4 linked regions of the Arabidopsis thaliana genome follow. The protein of the gene in region 2 purifies or fractionates together with the protein of the main gene of each other region. This does not show direct contact. Each region holds a gene or a part of one and is shown on either strand. Other genes may lie near its edges. The genes, in order: AT2G25355, AT1G63210, AT4G32175 and MCM3.

Region 1 (4,884 bases), on a different chromosome or scaffold from region 2:
AGCTAATCTTAGTGTCGCTTAGTGATTCTTTAATCTCATACAACAAATTCTCCTTCTCATCGCAAATCGCAACTCTAATCCAGACTTCACGGTCTTTTCCTTACCTTCCACCACCAAACCCTTGGTGTACAATCTGTAGACGACATTGTCTGAAAACTTCTTCACAGCAGAGTCGGATAGGACGACTGTAGAACAACCCTCGCCTTTAGGGTTTGGGAAATCTCCGGTTATGGTAGAATCTAGTCGCCGTTTTTAGTAACTCAAGTCTTGATCGCGTCTCTCCATGTCGTTTTGGTTTCAAGTAGGAAAATCTGAAGACTTATATATAAGAGAGAAGTTGTCAAATAAATTCTTATTAATTGCTTTGCTATGAAGGCACCGTAATGTTTGTAACTGTTATTGTATTGGTATCGATTGATTTTTCAATTAATATTGCCAAACCCTAGTTCCTCTAATCCATCTCCCAAAACTTATCAATTTATCGTTAGACGAATCATGTTGTTTCTTTTAAATTTTAATCTTGGTTTGTTTTTATCTCAAAGAGAAACATATGAGTGTAGTCTACATACTAAAAAAAGAGATGCGAATTAAAACGTTTCTTTTATAAAGTAGTGATACTGTTAAGCATACAACACACTTTTCAGTCTGAAATTTTCTCCAGCAATTTCTCTACCATGATTCTCTGTTGTGTCCCGCTTAAAGTTTCAGAATTCATCAACGCATTGGCGACGATAATCACTATACGAGGAGCAGCCGCATGCACCTGAAACCAGACAGAAGATATTAACCATGCGATTTCCAGTTGCATTGTTTGGATTCTTAAGAAGCAATCACTGTTTTTCTTACCCAACATCTCCCATTTAAGCCAAACGCAGTCTCAAACGAGAGTTTCTTTCCAAGAGCTTCAAGGACCGGGCAAGTTGGTGAACTCAACAACCTAATAAGAACAAAGTGTAAGAGTGAGAAAAAGTCGAGAAGAGGCCACTTCATCTAGAAGAAAAATAAAGGAATAAGAGTGAAACTCACATTCTAGATAAACCAGTTGAAGTTTCAAACATGAAACCATCTTTTAAGGGACCAAATCCTGCAGCCTTTCCACTTTCTATTACATTGTCCAACAATTCTAGTCAGCAATTGCTTAGTCTAAACAATTAATGCGGAGAAACAAGGAAATGATTTAACTTTTTAAACTTTGTGAGAAAAAAGAATGGATGGACTAACCGTCTACACATGACAGCTCCGGGTTCATTCCTGTGTTTGTCTTCACAACCCGAGTATAAAGCAGAGTGCTTACCTGTATCAACAAATTGTCACAACTCCCAAAAACACGTGATCACTATGTTATCACTTAATACAGCGAATCCACTTGAAATAGAGTTGATGAGCTCAACTCCAGACGAAGTAAAAGTGCCTATTATGCTCATAAACAAACCAATGAAGTACTGGATCCTTTCAATATCACACACAAGCCATTGTAATTTCCAGGGAAATTCTCAATACACTGTAATGGCAATACTAACATCTCAAACAACTGAATGCAGTTACCAGCTAGAGACTATTTTGATGATGGTTCAGATTGAAGAAGTATATTCAGAAGGTACTTGCCTCAAACTTGGGATAATTTCTTCTGTTTGCTCCTTCAAATGCAAGCACAGGCAAAAGAGCCAATTGTGGTCCTTTAATGTCTATCCAATAGTTCTGCAATGAAACATGTGTCAAAACGATTTTCAAAATATTATGATCTACTTTGTTACATGCAACATGACTTTGGCTGAGAACTCTAGGGGCAACACTCTAAATAAAGGCTTATGCCGTTTTCTTTATCCATGATCTCAAGTATTTATTAACATATACATGTAACTAACAAACAAGCTGAGCAATGATAGAAGTTGGATAATGATAGAGCACAACCGAAATCAATATTCTTTATACATGATTTTTGCATTAAATGAACTGTATACAGAGAAAAAATGCTTGATTCAGAGGGTCCAAGGGAAAAGGATCTCTAACAAAAATTTAAGGATCGTCTTTAGAGTACTTACTTCTCCTTTACAATCTACCACAATGCCAAGAACATGATCCTCAGGACGAGGTACATACTGCAAAAAAAACATAATAACAGAGTCAAAATCGAGTAACATGGAGTAATTCTTCAAACTAGAGAGCAAAACCACCACTTTTTCGACAAGTTAAGCGCAGATGAACAATCGAATAACTAGTAGAGCTAGGAGATATCAGGAAAAAGGTACCAATTTATTGCAAAATACAACCAGCAAGAAACTAATTAGTTCTCACCCTTTTATGAGAACTTTCCACCCAATACTTATTTGGCTTAGAGTACCTCAACTTCCCAGCTCTCATAACAGATATCACCTCATTATCCTGAAAAAACCTCAAAATCATATGTCAATCTTCTAGCCTTGCAAGCCCAACAAAAAGCAAACTGTAGATTCCAAATTAAGTTTATTCCTCAAATGCCAATGCAAGATCCAAAATTCAACATAACTTGTTTAATAATGAGCAAAACATTCATTAATTCATTCATACACTCAACACAACAAATTTCAAACTCCAAAAAAATGATCGAAGATTTGGAACAAGTGATTTTGAGAAAGTTAAAAACCTGACGGAGACCACTGCCGAGTTTGATTGTTTGGTTAGTCATGTTTGATAAATCGAGAACAACATCACCTGGAACCTGAAACCCATCTCACAAAACTTAATCTTTCAATGTAATCCCAATCTAAAACGATAATCAAAGAAGCAGAGGTTTTAGTAGAAAATACGCACAACAGTCTGATCAATGAGGCTTGTCGGCGAGGTAGAAACTTCAGTACCCATCTTTCTTATTTCTTCGCTAACAACACCAATTGATTTATCCAATGAAGGGAGACAGAGCAAAAGCAGAACTGAGAGGTAGAGAGAAAGAAGAACCCTAAAAAACACTAAAACCCTAAAGTTTTTTGCTTTGGTGATGTTGAAGACGATCGGAAATTAAAAACTCCGAACCAAGTAATTTACTATAATGGTTATGAGTGGTTTATTTCGGTTTAGTAGATCCATATGATTTGGTCAACTAAAAAGTCTCCTTCGTCCTTCCTTTTTTTTTGGGACAAAATGACACTTCTTTCACTGATTTTCAACGACTGCTCTGTGGACCATGAGTGATGGATGGTAGTTGTTTTTGGTGAACAAGAAACAATGACACTGATGGTTTCGAATTTTACAATGGATTAGGTGATCTGATGTAGACATGTGTGTGCATATACATCAATTAATTACATAAAGAAGAATCTGACTCGCATATTCAAAATAAGGGATTTACGTCACTAACCAACTTTCTGCTCTACTTTTCTCTGTACATGGTATATCTATTCTATAAGCTCTTCACCTTCTGCGTTTTTCGTTTTCCTCTTTCACAGAGCTCTTAACCTGCATTGCGGAATTCAAATGTTTTCTCAATTTGATATTCTCCTCAGTCCTCATACATATCTGCCATTATCTTCCTCAGCTCATCCTCAGAAGCAGTCTCATCAAACCCTAACAGCAGTTGCGCCTGAAAATATGCCACTTTCAAATTTAAAACGAGGAATCCAGCTTGGCGATTTTGAGCCATGGTTATCGAATGTAAACATTTGAATACGATTTTTCTTGCTACAGATATTAAAGGAGATGCACCAATAGCTTACCTCAATCTGATCTTGCAAGGCATTTGATACTTCAGATAAGTCTTCTCTGTTGTTACTGGACTCATCCATTGACAAGTTTGTGTTGTTCACTTTAAGCCTGTCGTGGAGAATTTCACAGTCACTATACAGCCTTCTTCTTGCTTCTAGCGTGTTCTCGACTATTATCCTTTCCTGTTGGAGGAGTTTCTGAAAAAATTAAACATGTTTCAGTATGTTTTGATGTTCTTTCTGTAGGATCATATACATTTACCACAAGCGGATGATGCAAGCAATAATATAATGCTTTTTATTTACAAGCTTAAGATTTACCTCAGTGTCAGACTTCTCTGTCAGCGATCGAGTCAGTTCCTTTTCCATTTCCATATGTGAACGTCTCAGGGATTTGACCTCTCTGACAAGCACTTTTATGTCTGCCTTTGATTTTGCCTCCAGTTCAACATACCGTCTAGAAAGATCTTCCAGTTGCTGTTTTGTGGCATCCATTTCTTGTAACAGCTCATGGCTCTCAGAGATTGTTGAGTTTCCTGACGTCTTAGAATCTGAACTCCCATCCTGTATTAGTTTGCAGGTGTCAGTAAGTTACTTTGCTAGATATAAATTACTCGCTCGATGTGAACTTGCTTAATTGTGGAAAGAATGTGATTGAGATGGAACTATTTCAAATTTCAATACCTCTTTTGACTTTAACTTCAGTTCCATCTCAAAAGTTTTTTGCCTGAGTTCTTCCATATCCCACTGCATCTTGGTAACACTCTGTCTCTCGGTCATCAAAGCTTGCTCCAAATTCTCTTTGTTTCTCTGTTTAGTAGTTTCAAGTTCCACTTCCAGATCATCAACCTGAACAGGAAAACCAAGATTACATATATGACATTCGCATGAAGAGTAAAGGAAGAAGCGCAGATTTCATTACCAACAAACTTGAAAACAGATGTACTATTATTTTCAATCATGTACCTTTCTGTTCAGATATTCCTTCACCGCTGTCTCTTGATTTAGTCTCGCTATAAGATCCTCCATGTCTGTTTTTGAATTGAGAAGTCTCTCATTCATAGTTAATAGAATCCTATTTAATTTACTATGCATTTTCAGCGGGAGAACTATTCGTCCATTACCCGGTATCTCCAGGTTACCAACAGATATATCATGATTAACATCCAGCTGGCTATGTACAATGGAGCTCAAGATACTAGAGGTT
Region 2 (6,146 bases):
GAAAAAGTAAATTGACTCATGGCGTAATTGAATTGTCAACATAAAAGTCACTGATATAAAGTTAACTATACTAAAGTAGCTCTTGTGCTTGAACCAAACATCAGCAAAAACCATACCTTAAAATCAATCTGCAAAAAAAAAAGTAAGAGAACATCATTAGTTACATAAATGAATCTAAAAACAATCATTTAACCCAAAAGTAACGGAAAAGAAAAACCCATGAAACAAAACAGAGATGTTAGAATTGAAAACAACACTCTGTCCGCAATAAACAAAGCTAACTAATTAAATCTTTCGTCTCTTCACATTTCTTGTGGGATCTTTCACACTTTTGACGAAATTTAAGTTGAATACTTGTATAGTTCTACTAAACAACAGACCTAATTAACGTTCCAAAAACAAAACTATTATTTCCCATATAGGTTTCTTGCAAAGCAAGCAATCAGTCTAAGAAATTCTTTGGGCTAAGGAGTGGAAAAATTCATGAATACATGATAAATAGTACCTTCAAGTTCATTGATTATCGATATGTCTCTTGAAATAAGCAGCCAGTTTATCAAGATCCCCAAACATTCTTTTCCTGAACTTGAATCCCTTAGGGTATAGACCGATGTACTCGTGGTGCGGATTTGCGGATCGTATGTAAGACAATATAAAGCTCCCTGGATGTTCATGAGAAACACCAAAACTGTAAACTACCATTTTCGGATTCACACCCTTCTCAACCCGAAGAAGATCATCTATTTCCGATTTTGTCCCAGTCCGAAATTTCCGGTGGTTTAGCATTGTCATAAGATGAGTTACCAAAGGATCAACATACCGATCCATTACCTGAAATATTGAAAACGCATAAGTATTTTCACTTGTACCAAAACTGAAATTTTGTAAGAATATAAAGACGAACCTCATCTAGATCCTCGAAGGTTTCATTCCCAATTTTCAGTGTTTTCCCAATACGTTGTAAGCTCACTATATCTTTGTTCTCCTTCTCACCTTCGATTATCTCCTTGTTAGCATACACATTATCAGAAATCTTGATCATCAAAGTCAAATGATTCAGTCCTCGTGAGCTTGGACGAACAATGCTTTCTCCAATATTCTTATCAGACAAATACACTGTTGCTTGCTCGGCAGTGATGTTCTGAAACCGAGGATGAACAATCATCCGAGACTTAAACTGCTTCTTTTCTTTAGGAACTTTCTCTTTCTCTATCAGGACACTATTTCGTTTCTCCTCGTGGTAATAATCATCGACATCCCCGAGATTCCTGTGCTTTCTCATTTCGCTTTCTTTGCAGACAAGTAACACATGATACCTTTGCTTTAGAATCGATTTGACCTTGCAAGTAACGATATCGCCTTCACACAGTTTGTTAGACAAATCAACGATATCTCTACCATCATCTGAGTAATCTTCCTTCAAGAGAATCCCAGGTAATCCACAATCTAATACACATTTGGCTTTACCACTTGTCACTTTCTTAACAGTGGCCTGCACAATCCTCCCTTCACCAATAGTTTCTTTGGTTTCACCTGAAATCATATAAAACTCCTCATCTGAATCAACCTCTTTAAACAGACTCCGCCAATCCTGAAATCCACAGCTTAATTCTCTCATGATCAGACTATAAGTTTCCTTCTTATTCTCTTGGTTCTTGCTTCTCAAGTACTCATCAAGAACGATTTTCCTCAAAGAAGCTGGCTCATCTCTCACATGCTCTATCGCCATCTCTATTGCATCATCCTCATCACCTCTTACAGTATCATGAGCATAAACATCTTTCGCCAATTCTTGCGCAAGACCGTATGATTCGGGATGTATTCTAGTGTCATCCAACAGATCAATAAATTGGCTGCTACTACAAGCCAACCCGCTCCTACGAATCCGTAAGAAACCAGCTGCATTTACGAATACCTTTTTACCAATCCCATGATTTATCAGTTCCTTGCGGACAAATATCGAACCAGCTCTAACAAGAGACTTCTGCAAAGATGCAGCTTTCCTAGGACCAAGACCTGAAACAAACTGTAAAGGAGAAAAAAGCCATTCATGGCTCGCAGCCAGATTAATGTCGATTCCAACTTGATTCGTTATGTCAACCATAACTTGTTCAACCATCTCATACTTCTCATCTGGATCAAGAAAATCTTGAAAAGAATGAAGCTTCCAAGACAGAATATCTCTACCTGGACCGCATAAAGTTGAGATCATTGCTAATGGATTCTGGAGATAACGTCCAAGAGAAACTGCGCGTTTCACAATTCCTGCTTGTTGAGGTAGTTGTTCACTTGAGATTCTAGAATTTTCGTATAGCCTAGGAAGAGATTCATCCGCATAAACCAATGGAAAATCATAAATCCTATCATCTACATAATTCAACGGCAGCTCTTCCACCATTTGGAATATAGCCTCATAAATCTCATCCTTCAGGCGTACACAACTCAAATTAACAGCTGCTAAAGCCAAAACATCTGGTTGATGGTCTCTTATAAACTTTAGAAAACGATCTTGATCCATTTTTTTACGTTTCTGGTCATTTACATCCCGAGACCGCAATCCAATGGAACCTGAGTAAAGCACATCAACCAGCTCTCCTGATGAATCAAGCATCACAAATGTAGTTTCTGGATTTCCAGGTCCCCAACAACAAGCTAGGACCCTCGGTGCAGCTTCCTCCTCCGAGGTATTATTATTCCTTCGATATGGCCCTGAAGACACTTTGTTCCATAAAACCTGTCCATACTCTGAAAGCAACTGAGTCTTCGCTCTGCTAGTTAGCAAGGATCTTGCTTCTTTCTCCATTGACGGCAAAACAAAACCATGAACCGCATCCTCCAGTATCAATTTCCTCTGCTCGTTCCAGAGTTGAGCATACTTACTAACACCAACACTTAGATAGTGTTCACTGCATTCACTAATTATCCTATTCATCTGATTCTCAGGCAGCTTGAAAGTTACTTGAAGAAGCTTCTCCTCTTCTGCTTTCTGAATGAGAAGCCATTGTACACCATCAAACTTTCTCAATGGCTTCTCGCTTAACCACTTAACCGCAGAAAACCGATGGAAGGAATCTATAACCACATTCCCATCTGGTGTTGGACTCGTTGAGACTACTGCATTCTCCATAAAAATTCCACGAACATACTTTCTAATCGATGGCTCGCAGCTTATCTCAACCGCAGCCATATGCCTTGCACCTTTAAGAACAGCTTGAGAATCTCCAAACATTGCACACTCATAGTTCAATGCCATCTCCTCTGGTGTTTTCTTTGCATCTTCAAGCTCATCAACAAAAACTTTCTCAAGAGACAACGCTAGTCCCAATTGCTCAGCGCTATAACCAAACTTGTTTGCAAATTCCTTAATCCCAAATTTGCTGCAGATGCTATATTGCGATTTCCTATTCGGCCTCTTGTACTGTCCTTCATCGATCTCACAATGAGGAAAATGCAAGTTGAACTTTGAGTCTACATCATCAACTTCTCTCTCTGTCTCCGCCGCTTGAAGAGACTTAATAACAGATTCAAAAAGACTCTTATTCAGATCAGACATGCAGGTTTCTTCTTCAAAACGTTTGGTATAGTAACCAAACAACGCGGTTTTCCTTTTCCGCAGAAGAACCCACTTTCTATCCAAATCTTGAATCATCCACAAGACTTTATGCCACTTGGTCTCAAGCTTCTTGTCAAGATTGAAATCACTACCATCATGATCATCATCAGAACTGTCCAATAAACTCCGACACTGCTCCTTCCGATACATAGCTATAAACGGTATCTCTAACTTCTGCACATGAAACATCTCTAAAAACTTCACAATGTCATCCTTATTAATCAAACAACCCTGCCCTTGTTCTTGAAGCAATCGAGCATAAATCCAGTTGCTCTCTTCTTGAATGCTCATGTCATCTAGGGAAACAATTCCAATGGCTTCTTCAAATATCTGCATTCTCTCAGGAACATCAAGCTTCCTAATTTCATCATCTTTCTCCGTCATATACTTCTCAGAGAGAACCATTGGTTCAAACTCATCTTCTAACTTTCTTTCGATCTTTTCGTTATACTTCAAATCCTTTTTCCGAAGTTTCAACAATTCTTCAGGATCACCAAATACATCATTAGCGTATCGTAAAGCGTTCGAATCAGTTCCTTGCTTATATTTCATTTTCTTCCTCCTCATTCCTTGAGCACCATGATCATCTTCATCTACAATGAAGTGACTCAAATCATCATCATCATCATCATTATTGATCTTATCCTCTTCCTCTGAAGATTTCTTCAAACGTTTATACTTGTTTCTTTGGAAAGTGTCGTTGTTATCTTTAAGAAGTAGATAATCATCTTCGTGAAGAGTAAAGGATTCGTCTTTCTTCCTTCGACTTCTACTCTTTTTCTCACTACAATGTCTCTGTTCTTCTTCTTCTTCTCCATCATCAGAACCATTCACTAAAAACCCATCGTCAAACTCATACTGATCATCTTCGTCTTCATCATCTTCCTCACGGTTCTCCACTGGATCTTCATGAATCTGGGGCTCTGTCTCAAAAACAGAGTCGAATCGTTAGAAAAATAATAATAACAGAGAATTTAGGGCTTTTGAAAGCAGAGCTTTTTATGTACCTTCGTCGATCCTATTCATGACTAGGTTAGAATATTTAGCTATACGAAATCGATGAAGATGGAGATCAACCCTAGAAACTCTGTGATCGTAAAACTAGTCTCTATTTGATTCTGAATTTTGCGAAGAGAAACAAAGAAAAAGGCTTTTCGTACTTCTAGGGTTCACACCAGCATTAAGAGGCTACTAATTGAAGTTTTGAAGCATTTCTTATTTTTAAAAATATTTATGAAACTCTTTTTTTAGCTGATATTTAATTAATATATTTGGTATTTTTTTCGATTCATTAAGAGATTTATTTTTCATATTCATACAAATTTATATTGATAATTCTTTTTTCCACTAATTTTTTCATTATATAAACTAATGATAAAATATATAGGTGAAATATATTTTTAAAATATTAAACCTATAAAAAACAAAGAAATTCTCGAAAACTAAAGCAGAATCTACCGAAAACACTTAATAAAATTCATAGCACAAAAAACCATAACAATTAAGAATTGCAAAACAAAAAAAAAAAAAAAAAAAAAAAGATCAAGCAAACAACGGAGGATGGGATAATGAATCCTAAGAACTGAAAAAAGTAAAGAAGCAAACCAGACCGACGATCACTTGAATCAATAGAAACCGAGTTTGAGCCAAAGACAAGTGTTTAGAAGAGACTGCTAGATCACTAGAAGCACGAACCAATTAGAAACTCTAGCACAAACAGCACCAAACCGGAAGCAAACGCCAGACTGATCAAAACTACAACGGGCACTCACTCCCCCAACACCAAACCAAATTACTATTGATAATTTCTTATATCACATCTTTTGAAAAAAGGATTTAATTTAAGCCTAGTTATTAAGGCGCTTAACGTTGCCAAAAAAAAGAAATTATTCTATAAAATTAATGATTTTTAATTTAAAGGTTAGGTGTTTCTCTAGACTTAAATTATTTTCTTACACGATAGAATACTTAGAGGTTATTTCTATTTACGAAAAATGAGAAAAAAATGGAAAAACCAAACGGACTGAAATCACATGGAGTTTGTATATGCATTATTAATTCATGAAAAGAAGTGTCTTGAATTTTCAACCATTTTACTTTTGAAAATCACACTCAACAAAATTAGCTTTTGGTATAAGTATTTTTTTTTGTTGAGAAATTCGTGAAGACGTGTCGTTGGGTGGGTTCCAATAGATATTGTTCTAATATTGGCTAAAAGGTGTCCAAAAATAGAGTGATTCTGCAGAATATATTAGTATAATCATCTCCACTGGATAACCAAAAACAATATTGTTTGTTACATCGTTTCTCTTTTGTCATCTTATGCTATCACATGATGATTTTTTAAAAAGTGATGCAAGTTTGTAACCCTCTATGTTCACATGCTACGTACACGCAAATTTTGAAAGCACGGTCATTCAAGAATGCAAAACGTGTTGGTGGTCGAGAAGGCCGTGGACCCGTGGTCATTACAATTACTCAATTAGTGTTTTCTAGTAATTTAGAATGCACATGCACTCCCCCTCTTTACTTC
Region 3 (4,692 bases), on a different chromosome or scaffold from region 2:
CTTGTATCGACCTCAGACAAGTCAGCTCTGAGCTTGCAGCCGCTGCCAAAGACGCTGATCTTGTATCTACAAAACCTTCTCTGTTTTCTACCTGACATAAACTTCAAACACATCAAAAAAGAGAAGCTTTGTTCTTTATTTGATGTTTAACAATATTGCAGGTTGTCTTGGAAGGTATGGGAAGAGCACTTCACACCAACTTCAACGCTCAATTCCAATGCGAGGCTCTCAAGGTTTAAACCTCACTTGACAGAAAATTTCAGCTCTAGAACTGTTATTGAAACTTTTGGCTGAAACCTTCTCTTCCTTTTTGGCAGCTAGCAATGGTTAAAAATCAGAGATTGGCTGAGAAGTTGATAAAAGGAAACATATATGATTGTGTATGCAGATACGAGCCTCCCTCGCTTTAACAATGTTATGTATCATTTCTTCAACCTTTAGACTACTGTTGTATACAGATTAAGCATTCGTCATGTGGCATATGTATTTTTATTTAGACTACACTTTTACTGTATAAAATTGTATTTGAATGAATCAAAATCACTTGCTATAAAGAGCATCATGAGGGTTCAGTTACATTTCAAGAACAATAACGTTTAGTCTGAAATTATCGCGAGCAATTTCTCAACCATGATTCTCTGCTGAGTCCCACTTAGAGATTCCGAGTTCATTATTGCATTGGCCACGATAATGACTATACGTGGAGCTGTCGCATTTACCCAAACTCTGCCATTTAAGCCCACAGCTATCTCGAACGAGAGTTTCTTTCCAAGAGCCTCAATGACCGGGCGCGTTGGTGAATTCAACAGCCTATAAGAGATGAGAAAGTAAAGTTGTAATGGCGAAAGAAGATAGATAAAGTATAAGGAGACATTTTTTATGAGGAAGTATATCTCACATTCTTGAAAGACCAGTTGAAGTTTCAAACATGAAACCATCTCTCAAGGGTCCAAATAATGCAGCTTTCCCACTAGCTAATACATAGAAACAAGAGACAATTAGTTTAAAAGGGATTAAGAGAAGCAGCACTGTTTTAGCCTCCAAAGCTTTTAACTTACCCTCGGTACAAGACAGCTCCGGATTCATTCCTATGTTTGTCTTGACAACCCGGAGATAAAGCAGAGTGCCTACCTGTTTAGTACACAAAAATTTGAACATTCCAGAAACAATCAATTCATAGAGAATGTCATATCCCAAATGAGAATTCAAGAGAGCTTCCTGAGTCATCAGAATGTACATGCCTCAAACTTGGGAATATTTCTTCGTGTTCCTCCTTCGAATGCAAGAACTGGCAAAAGTGCTAATTGAGGTCCTTTAATGTCCACCCAAAAATTCTGCAATGACATGATGAGTAAAAGAAACAATTCAGTACTTACTAAGGCGATGTTAGTTCATGCAAGAAAGCTTAACTGCAGCTGATAATTTAAAAGTCAATTAACATTTGTTTGTCCAATAATGGTATCAGTTTTCTTCTGATTTTAGACCATAACTTCAATACTCCCACCTATTTATTTACTGATCCAAGACCATCAACAAACAAGTTCACCTTTATTGGCTCAGAGAAATGAGGACTGAAGTCGCGGAAACTGACAAACATATATTTGTATCGTATTTGACAACTAAAGTATAATAAAATGCTTTCAGAGATGACCAGTCTGAGAGGGATCCAAAAACAACACAAGAATCTATACAAGCAATGATTTCAAAGGACTTACATCTGCCCTAGAATCGACCACGATTCCAAGAACATGATCATCAGGGCGAGGTATATACTGCAAAAAAAAAACATAATAACAGAGTCAGCAACAAAGAGAACGAGACTTACATAGATAATTAACAAAACAATATTCTACTAGAGTTTTGAAAACCAAAAATGGTAAATTGTCTTATCAAGCCAGATGTATATGATCAAATAACTAGGGAGAAAACTAGCAAGAATGATCCACAAAAGCATCAAATTGTCAAAATGCTACAAAAGGCAAATCTTCAATTCTTCATGATGCAATTGTGCCAGGTTATTTGTTACTTTTCTACTCATGATTAATCAAGTGGACCTAGTATCCGAGCAGATGACACAGTTATAATCCACAAGAAGCTCAATAGAGAAGCAACCAGAAAGGGAAGATTAGTAAGACCACTGAGCTCACCCGTTTATGAGAACTTTCGAGCCAATACTTATTAGGCTTGGAGTAACTTAATTTGCCAGCTCTCATGGCAGAGATAGCATCATTATCCTAAAATAAGCCAAAAAAACAAACACATGTCAATCTACAATTCCTTTTTAGTTGCAATTGTATATCACAAATCAAGTGCCCACTGGAATAATTGTTAGGATTCAAACAACACATAAGAAAGAGAAGAAGATGAAACCTGAAGAAGGCCACTTCCGAGCTTGATTGTTTGGTTATTCATGTTTGACAAATCAAGAACAACATCACCTGGAACCTAAAAATTGAAAACACCATGCTTCATTGTAACCAAATCGAATCGAAATCATAAAAAAGCCAACTTTTTAGAGATATACGGACCACAATCTGATTTAAGAGGCTTGTGGGAGAGACAGAAACTTTGGCAGCCATGAGTGAGGTGGGTTTTGGAGATAAGAACCCTAATATATGTTAAACTCTGTTAAAGCTTGTTCCTTGACGACGATGAGAACCCAGAAAGGAACAACACTGCACAGTCTCTTCTTTTTTTTGCACGCAAATTTTGAACCAAAACTATACCGAACCAGTCAATATTAGGATTTCGGTTTACTTAAACCGTAAAACTAAAAAAAAAAACTAAGAACCAAATCAAAACCAAACCAAAATGATTTTTTTATTTAATACATGAATAATTTCAAGCAGAACATCTCTTAGTAACAGTGATTTGAAGACCATGTTTCATTGACAATATAAAACCAAGAGCTGGCACAATCTTCTGTCCTTGGAGAACCTTAATGTCGTAGTTTCGTAATATCTCCACTGCCACTATCTTCATTTGAGTCATAGCTAGATGTTTACCTAGACAAGTTCTTGGACCGGCATTAAACGACAAAAACTTGAAGGAAGGCTCATGTTTTATGCCTCCATTCTCCGAAATCCATCTCTCTGGCTTGAACTGCGATGCATCTTCTCCCCAAACCGCTCGCATCCTCCCCAATGCATAAAGACAGATAATAATCTTAGAGTTTGCATCAACTTTATGGCCACTTGGAAGCACATCTGATTTGATTGGAGACTTGCGTCCGAAGGAAACTGGTGGGTAGAGTCTCATTGCTTCACACAACGCACCATGTAAATACACCAACTTGTCTACATTCTCTTGGCTATTTCCTGTTCTTGATAGATCAGTGTTGATGTTGATCTCTTGATGAATCTTGGCTACCACATGTGGATTTTCAGAGAGAAGCCAGAAGAACCAAGAGAGAGCGGTGGCTGTTGTGTCTCTTCCCGCTAGAATGAAAGCTAAGATGTTGTCTCTAAGGAACTTATCGTCACTCGGATTCAAGAGCTTGTACTTGGTCGTGTCTAGCTTTATGAAGGAAGTTAAAAGATCCTGACTTCCTCCATTGGAAGTCCCTTGTGATCTTTTAATCTCTTCTCTCTTGGCTGATATGTATTTGGCACACACGCGGTCAAAAGTTGCATTAGCTTCAGTGAGCTTCTTCTCTTGTCCGAATCCTATCCAGTTTTGCAGCTTCCACAAGAACCTTGGTTTAAAATGCCTATAAAGAATCCCTTCTCCAACATCGTCGAGAGCTTTAGCAAATTCGTCTTCAGGCATTTCAATGGAGAGAGATCTAGGATCAGAACCAGTTACAAGGATGAAAATTGTATCGAAAGTGAACCTCCCGAAGACGCTTTGCAAGTCAAGAGTTGTTCCTTCCTCAGCAAAATGATTAAGAAGGGGAACAAGACCGTACTTGAGTTTACTTGTCATGGTACTCATTGAAAACCTTTGAAACTCTTGACTATGGAGCATGGCTTGATAAGATTTCCTCATATTCTTCCATAGCTCCGAGTCCGTGGTGATGAAACTGTCTCCTAACACATCAAAAACATCTTGGAACTCCGGTCCTTTGATGTAGTTTGAGAAATTTGAGCTCATTATATGATGAATGTTAGCTGGATCAACCGTGAGCAACATATCCATTCCTGTGAACCGCGGTCCTTTGAATGGAAAGGTCAAGTCAGAGGTTTCGAGAATCTTCACGCTGTAGTCGTAGATTCGGTGAAGCGCCTTGAGCATAGCGGGTAGCATCCGGAGAACCGGCCAGTTCCTAGGGTACCGGCCATGAGGTTTCTTGAAGAGAAAGTAATGAAGGATGAGAAAGCAAAGGATAGCTACGGAAACTTGAAGTAAGCTTATTGAAGCCATTGGAGTAAGGCAATTGATAACACACAGTTTGCTGACACAATGAGAACTAAATTTATAAGCATACACTTCAGGGCACAAGTAAGGAGATGCTTTTTAAAATACACACTAAATTTCGTTATATGCACAAACTGCAAAGCACGTTTAATGCATGTATATCATCAAATTAGAAACTTGTATTAAATTGCCAATGACACCTAACTTTTTATTTTTGTGATAATACACCTAAGTGTTTCAATAATTTGAAAACTGTTATAATTGCCCCTTGTAACTTTATCAACTAATCAAAACTTATTGAAACCATTAGAGAATGAGCTGGATTCACGCACATAG
Region 4 (6,183 bases), on a different chromosome or scaffold from region 2:
GAATTTAGAATTCTTAGAGTGGAGACAAGTTTCTCTTGCTCATGGCCTTAACATTTCTGAGAAGCTCTGGTCTGAATCAGAGACATGTATGGCCTAACTACGTAAGTTTATTTAGTAACTCAATTGTTTTGACTAGGGTTGATAGAGAAACGTGTGCAGTAACCTACCAAAATAGATTTTGTTATTTGGCAACAAAAAAAAAAATAGATTTTGTTGTATTACTCTGTATACCAAAACTGATTTCAATCCGTCTTTGTGGAATTTAACCTGATTATATGTACAATTTTAGAAACGTATAGGATCCATCATGGACAAAGCAAACATGTTTTGGAAAAAAAAAAAAAAAGTAATAGAGACCAAATGGAAAAACATGGATCTTTTAGACGAGAGAGTTCCAAGGTAGTGATTATTAGGGTTTTGAAGTTGGCTTATATATGGCACAACTCTATTCTTACCATTGGGTTAAAACAACATATACACTATAATCTTGATGTCGATTACATATGTATAAAATTTGGCATAAACAGCTCAAGAAATTATAGGATAAATATGAAAGTATTTTATTCTCGGATTGTGCTTTTCGTTATAAATTCCAAATTTTATAATCAGATGCGTTTTTTTAAGCATTTTATCATCAGTTTTACTTCACTAGTAAATGCAAAAAACATAACGTATGAATAAAGATTTTACAAAATGATATTTTGGTTTCCAAGAGTTTACTACTACACTATTTTTGAGTTCTAATATGATGATGATGATGCAATCAATATTGATTTCTTCATATGATCAAATGATATGAACTTTGCCATCGCTGATCATCACTTTGTTATCATCTTGCAGTTTCTGCATAAAATCCACAATAGAGTAAAGTTATGAAGATATTGTATAAAAAGTTAAAGAATGAGAAAGCTTGTCTCTTAATTTGTGAATTACCTCTAAGAGAGCCATAATCTCATCTGCAGAGTAACGAGATGCTCCAACCCCATTGTTGTTGACAACAGTCTCTATATCTGCAATAGAGATGTCATCGAGCCTGTGTGTCCTCATGTGCTGCCCAAACACTCGCTCAAAGGTTTCAATCCTTGCTGCAGAGACCGTGCCGCTGAATTGCTCTACAGAAGGTTCATCTACTTCCATTGGATCTGCTGTTTCACTGAATGGACCAGCAAAAGAGAAAGAAAAAAGTATAAGGGTTGAGAAAGCTGTGATATAGGTTTCCATGGAGGAGATCAAATTAGTTTACCTGTCGACATTTGCAGTGTCATTCTCTGCTCCATCTTCATTATTCCTGCGTTGGTTGCCTCTACGTCCACTTGGTGTTCTTTCTTGTTCAGCTTGTTCCCTTTGACGTTCTTCTTGCTCACGATCATCCATCTCAGTTAATTCTTGATGATATATTGCAAAGTTCATAAGCTTCAAGGCAGCCTCTGCATCAGCTTTAGTAACCTTTCAAAATAAAGTTATCACTTTAGAAAGAATCTGAATAGAACATATTCACGACCAGGTGGGGAAACAGAAGATTTGAGTTAGATTGTTACCTCGCTACTCAACTTCATTTTGGCATGTGCCGTAGCAAGACGAATTATTGTCTCTAGAGTTCTGGCTGTTATCGGAAGCGTACCTCCAGTCTGCAGAGATTTCGATGGTTGTGTCAAATACAAGTTCCCAAGACGAAAAAGATACAGTGTCCAATGTTATTTTATGAAATAAATTACCTTAGTATCGGAACCTGCATTTCTGAGATCTGCATATGCTTCTGCAATACGTTCCGATGCCTGCAAATTTAATAACAAAAGAGATTTAGTGGAAGAGATTATCAGATACATAAAAATTTATATATTTGAGTTCACTGTCTCACTTCATCAGTGAGCTTTGGTGTAATACGGTGCTTGGCGTAATGAATGTACTTCTTCAAGAACTTAATCGTAAGGGTTTTATCATGTGTTTGGCCTCTTTTCTTCTTCCCATGTAGTGTTTGGTTATACTTAACAAACATTTCACTCTCAGCATTGTCTTCTCTCGCGTAAGGCAAGCTCCCATCTGGCCCTGCCTCACCTATGGTTCACTCAAAAGTCAGATGCGTTTCAAGACATGGGTTGTGAAATGTTTAGTAAAACATAGAAGCATGATTTGTTTCCTACCTCTATCGTTCTTGTAACGATGCATGCGCAAGACATGTTCTGAAATCATGCTGTCGATACCAGCATCCATTTGATCCAACACAATAAACAGTAGATCAAAACGAGAAAGCAGCGAATCTGGAAGTCCAATGTTCTTTGTTGGAGTCAGTGATCTGTCATACTGCAGGAGCAAGAGTAGGTATTAGGACAAAAAAATACTAGTCAGTAGAGTAAGTAGATTAGGAAAACTTCGGTGAGAACTTACAGTTCCGTATATGGGATTTGCAGCTGCAACCACACTGCATCTAGCATTCAGTGATGCATGGATACCGGCTTTTGCAATTGTTACAGTCTGTTGCTCCATCACTTCGTGTATAGCAACTCGGTCCTGATCATTCATCTTATCAAACTCGTCAATGCACACGATACCTTTATCAGCGAGGACCATTGCACCAGCTTCTAGTCTTCGTTCCCCTGATGAAAATGAGAATTTGATTTTAATGAGAAATAGCACTTTTGACCTTCCTTCAAATTTTGATTTTAGCATTTGATAAAAAAATGTGGAAACGCTTTTGTGTGCTTTTTACCTGTTTCTTGGTCAGAAGTCACAGCAGCAGTTAACCCAACACCGGAAGAACCACGGCCTGTGGTTGATATAGCCAAAGGTGCAATATTCATTATCGCTCTCAGAAGTTGAGATTTGGCAACAGATGGATCACCAACCATCATCATGTTGATGTCTCTGAAAGCACAAGATTTGTTTTCAAGTGAAGAAAGAAAAATGAGTTAGACAAAAAGTATCCAATGAGTCGAATCTGAAATCTGTTTTCAAGCAAGACTTACCCCCTCAAGTGGGTTCCGTTCTTCAGGTTCTTTTCAACACCACCAAGCATCAGTAAAACTACTGCTTTCTTTATCCAAGCGTGCCCATAAATAGAAGGTGCTAAGGAACGAGCAAGGAGATCAAATGCATCATCTCTTCGTGCAATATTTTTAATGTTATCTAGGTCTTGCTTAGTGTATATAGGTGCATTTGCTTCTTTATTGAGCAGAGCGATATTATTGGCTATGAGGATAGTCCTACACAGAAAGAACTCGGTCAAGACTATCAGAGTGAAAACATCTTGAACTAACAGATGTGTAAGAAAACGCACCTAAAGACTCCATTTACACTACCCTTGCTTTTTCCAGGAAGAGCTTTGTAAATACCGAAAACAGATACTCGATCTCCTGGCTTGCATGAGTCAACAAGGTCATCCTCAGCAATGACATCAACGCTTCGTGGAAGCTGACCAGGAGCAGCATTTTCAGGCACTTCTTGAATTGACAAGGTCTGGTGATCTTTGTATTTGCACAGCCCATACTCAGTCACCAATAAGTTTCCCTTATCATCCTGAACAAAAAAAAACTCAATCTTCAGTAAGAGGCAAATCTTCCAGCAGTACAGGTAAATGAACAAAACGAAAACAAAAAACATGTAATTACCCTTGTGGGATAGACAGAGCCAGTGGGTAAACCAGCGTGAGATGTTATGTCTCGATAATCTCGATTGGTAAATTCACCGGTTGATGGACAAAAGTGAACGCTTTTAACAACCTTTGGCCTCACAAGAGAGCCTGAAAGCAAAGCATGTGTCAGAGGTTCAAAATCTTCTACGTAAAACACAAAGGAAACAGAAGAAAAGCAGAGGAATAGAGTGAAAATGATGAGCTTACATTTGGTGACAATGCCCTCAACACAGACCATAGATCCAATAAAATCAGAGAGAAGCTCTCTAGGAGTAACAACGCGAGAAACAAAATAACCTTCAAAACCAACAAGGACAAGCTCTCCTTCCTTCAAGTATTTAGGGTCAATAGCACGAGTAGCTTCAGTGGCTGCGTCACAAAATGACTGCATATACTCATTTGGATTCTTCAGTATCCTATCCAAAAAAACCAAAGCAATCAACTTTAAGGTCACAAAACATATGACAATTGTAGTGAATCCTTAAAAATCCCCAAATTAACCTCACTGAATCTAACAAAACCCTAAAATCTGCCGTAAATTCATAACCTTATACTAAAGAACCGATTAAAAATTCGAGGAAGACAAATTGAGAAGATGACGAACCTAGAGGCAACTTCCCTGAAGTGGTGGTGAATGTCAGAGATATTAATAATGAGACGGTGACGCTTTTGATGTACCAAAGCCTTGATTTCCTCCATATACATCTACACAATCCGTAAAAAAAATCCAATTTTTCAAATTAGATAAGAACAGAAGCTCGAGAAATGTCTGGTGAGAAAAGTGATAGAAATCGACTTACACTATCGAGGAACTGGATAAAATCTCGCTTGTGGCGAAGCCTCGTCTCCTCTGGCACATCCATTTCTTAACAAAATCTGGGTTCTTCGTAAGAACTTTTCTTCTTCTACTTAAAAAAAAAAAACTGATTAGAGATTTTCGATTTCCGATTTCGAGAGGCATAAAGGGCGGATCTTCTCCTTATGGCGGGATTTCGTGAGATAACCTGTACCCTTTTTGGCGGGAAGGGTCATTTTGGGCCGATATTAGTTGGGCCTTTCGTCTACGTGCTTTTTGATTAACCAAATTTGGGCCGGTACAATTTTGGACTTACGTCTACGCGCTTGTTTGGCGCGTTTGATTTCCTCAAGGCGGTATAATACACCCAGATTCTAAACCAAAAACCAGACATACCAAATCAATTCATTGTAAATTCGGTTTAACTTTTGCTACTGCCTTCAAGCCAGTAAACCGAAAAATGTATATATGAAAACCAAAATAAACCTGTGTGATTTGAGAACATTTTCGGATGTATCACAACATATGTATAACTGAAAAAAAATTCAGTATAAATCTAATTTCTTCGAATGTAAAAACACGACAAGAATTGTTGAGAAATAAAAGATGAGAATCCCCTAATTGGATTATTCTGACAATAACACCGTTACTACAAGATTCTCTCAGTTTCTGTTTTTATAAATTACGCAAATATGGAACGAACTAAGATACACAACATTCCGCAGACAAGAGAGAGAACAAACAAAATCTGAAATCTCAGCAACCGTAAGAAACGGGGAATGAAAGAACCGCAAAAGGCCAGAGGAAGAGCTCCAACTTGTGAACCAAGAAGCTGCAAGTGGTGGTGATGGATGATGATAGTAACCGATAGGGCAGAGAATCTAAAAGGTATGAAGAAATCAGGGTTTGAAGGCAGAGAAGGCGACTACCGAGTTGTGTCCACCGAACCCGAACGAGTTTGATATGGCTGCAGCAAAACAGAAAGACATTAATCAGTGAAACTGTTGCCAGTTTAATCCAATGAGAAGGCGGTCATGTTTGTCACTTACCAACATCAACCTCGTGTTGCTTCTTCTCGTTTGGGACCGTGTCAAAGTCCACAGCTTGTTCTGGGTTCTACAATGAGAAAACAAAGAGTGTGAGAGTCTAATACAATGACCAAGTTCAAATCTTGCAACAGTTCAAACTGAAAGCGGAATCAAAGAAGCCTTTTCTTGACTTCCTGTTATACGTACAAATTGGTTGATGGAAGGATGCAGCCATCCAGTGTTGATAGCCTTCACGGTGGCGATGGCTTCTAGACCTCCAGCTGCACCGAGGCAGTGACCTATCATAGACTGTAACAGAAACTGTCATTCACAGGAAATGCAAAGCAAACAAATACATTGAAATAGAGGAGAAGAAGAACACTCAATCATAGAGCATTGGGGACGAACCTTGGTGGCGTTGATTTTGATCCCTGAAGTGCTCTTGAATACCTTTTTAATGGCATTAATCTCAGCAAGATCACCAGCAAGAGTGGAAGTTGCATGTGCATTGATGTAATTTACCTGAAAAACGTGGAATGAATATAAGTAGGGAAGTAACACGAATCTAATGAAGAAATTTGTTTCAGATAGCCTTAAAACTTAGGAAGCATGAAAAGTTTGTGTTTTTTACCTCCTCAGGTGATACACCAGCATCTTCCAGGCATCTTTCAATGCATGAAGAAACCCCAAGACCATCAGCTCTTGGATCAGTCATATGGTGAGCATCACAA

What was found.
Region 1: the proteins of AT1G63210 (region 2) and AT2G25355 fractionate together in Arabidopsis thaliana (co-fractionation; one large-scale study listed by BioGRID). This does not show direct contact.
Region 3: the proteins of AT1G63210 (region 2) and AT4G32175 fractionate together in Arabidopsis thaliana (co-fractionation; one large-scale study listed by BioGRID). This does not show direct contact.
Region 4: the proteins of AT1G63210 (region 2) and MCM3 fractionate together in Arabidopsis thaliana (co-fractionation; one large-scale study listed by BioGRID). This does not show direct contact.

What each region holds. Positions count from the first base shown.
Region 1 is NC_003071.7:10,799,348-10,804,231, reverse strand, and holds AT2G25355 (PNAS-3-like protein), read right to left. Parts: upstream 3,142-4,884; 5' UTR 2,842-3,141; coding exon 2,791-2,841; intron 2,699-2,790; coding exon 2,624-2,698; intron 2,383-2,623; coding exon 2,296-2,382; intron 2,100-2,295; coding exon 2,043-2,099; intron 1,699-2,042; coding exon 1,606-1,698; intron 1,295-1,605; coding exon 1,222-1,294; intron 1,103-1,221; coding exon 1,027-1,102; intron 938-1,026; coding exon 847-937; intron 764-846; coding exon 641-763; 3' UTR 510-640; downstream 1-509. Other genes in the region: AT2G25350 (Phox (PX) domain-containing protein), read right to left, coding at 3,534-3,875, 3,999-4,241, 4,362-4,526, 4,644-4,884.
Region 2 is NC_003070.9:23,441,722-23,447,867, reverse strand, and holds AT1G63210 (Transcription elongation factor Spt6), read right to left. Parts: upstream 4,181-6,146; coding exon 905-4,180; intron 832-904; coding exon 514-831; downstream 1-513. UniProt on the Arabidopsis thaliana protein: Transcription elongation factor that enhances the transcription elongation by RNA polymerase II (RNAPII).
Region 3 is NC_003075.7:15,533,442-15,538,133, reverse strand, and holds AT4G32175 (PNAS-3-like protein), read right to left. Parts: upstream 2,701-4,692; 5' UTR 2,580-2,700; coding exon 2,529-2,579; intron 2,446-2,528; coding exon 2,371-2,445; intron 2,235-2,370; coding exon 2,148-2,234; intron 1,773-2,147; coding exon 1,716-1,772; intron 1,335-1,715; coding exon 1,242-1,334; intron 1,132-1,241; coding exon 1,059-1,131; intron 975-1,058; coding exon 899-974; intron 811-898; coding exon 597-810; 3' UTR 532-596; downstream 1-531. Other genes in the region: PANK2 (pantothenate kinase 2), read left to right, coding at 1-62, 162-233, 318-410; CYP96A2 (cytochrome P450, family 96, subfamily A, polypeptide 2), read right to left, coding at 2,842-4,362.
Region 4 is NC_003076.8:18,769,116-18,775,298, forward strand, and holds MCM3 (Minichromosome maintenance (MCM2/3/5) family protein), read right to left. Parts: upstream 4,589-6,183; 5' UTR 4,492-4,588; coding exon 4,429-4,491; intron 4,334-4,428; coding exon 4,233-4,333; intron 4,045-4,232; coding exon 3,836-4,044; intron 3,737-3,835; coding exon 3,606-3,736; intron 3,514-3,605; coding exon 3,275-3,513; intron 3,201-3,274; coding exon 2,964-3,200; intron 2,863-2,963; coding exon 2,708-2,862; intron 2,595-2,707; coding exon 2,386-2,594; intron 2,302-2,385; coding exon 2,142-2,301; intron 2,056-2,141; coding exon 1,859-2,055; coding exon of another isoform or gene 1,847-1,858; exon of another isoform or gene 1,776-1,846; coding exon 1,716-1,775; exon of another isoform or gene 1,629-1,715; coding exon 1,539-1,628; coding exon of another isoform or gene 1,527-1,538; exon of another isoform or gene 1,447-1,526; coding exon 1,244-1,446; coding exon of another isoform or gene 1,240-1,243; exon of another isoform or gene 1,154-1,239; coding exon 934-1,153; intron 844-933; coding exon 787-843; 3' UTR 534-786; downstream 1-533. Other genes in the region: KASI (3-ketoacyl-acyl carrier protein synthase I), read right to left, coding at 5,324-5,391, 5,474-5,540, 5,612-5,761, 5,861-5,974, 6,084-6,183.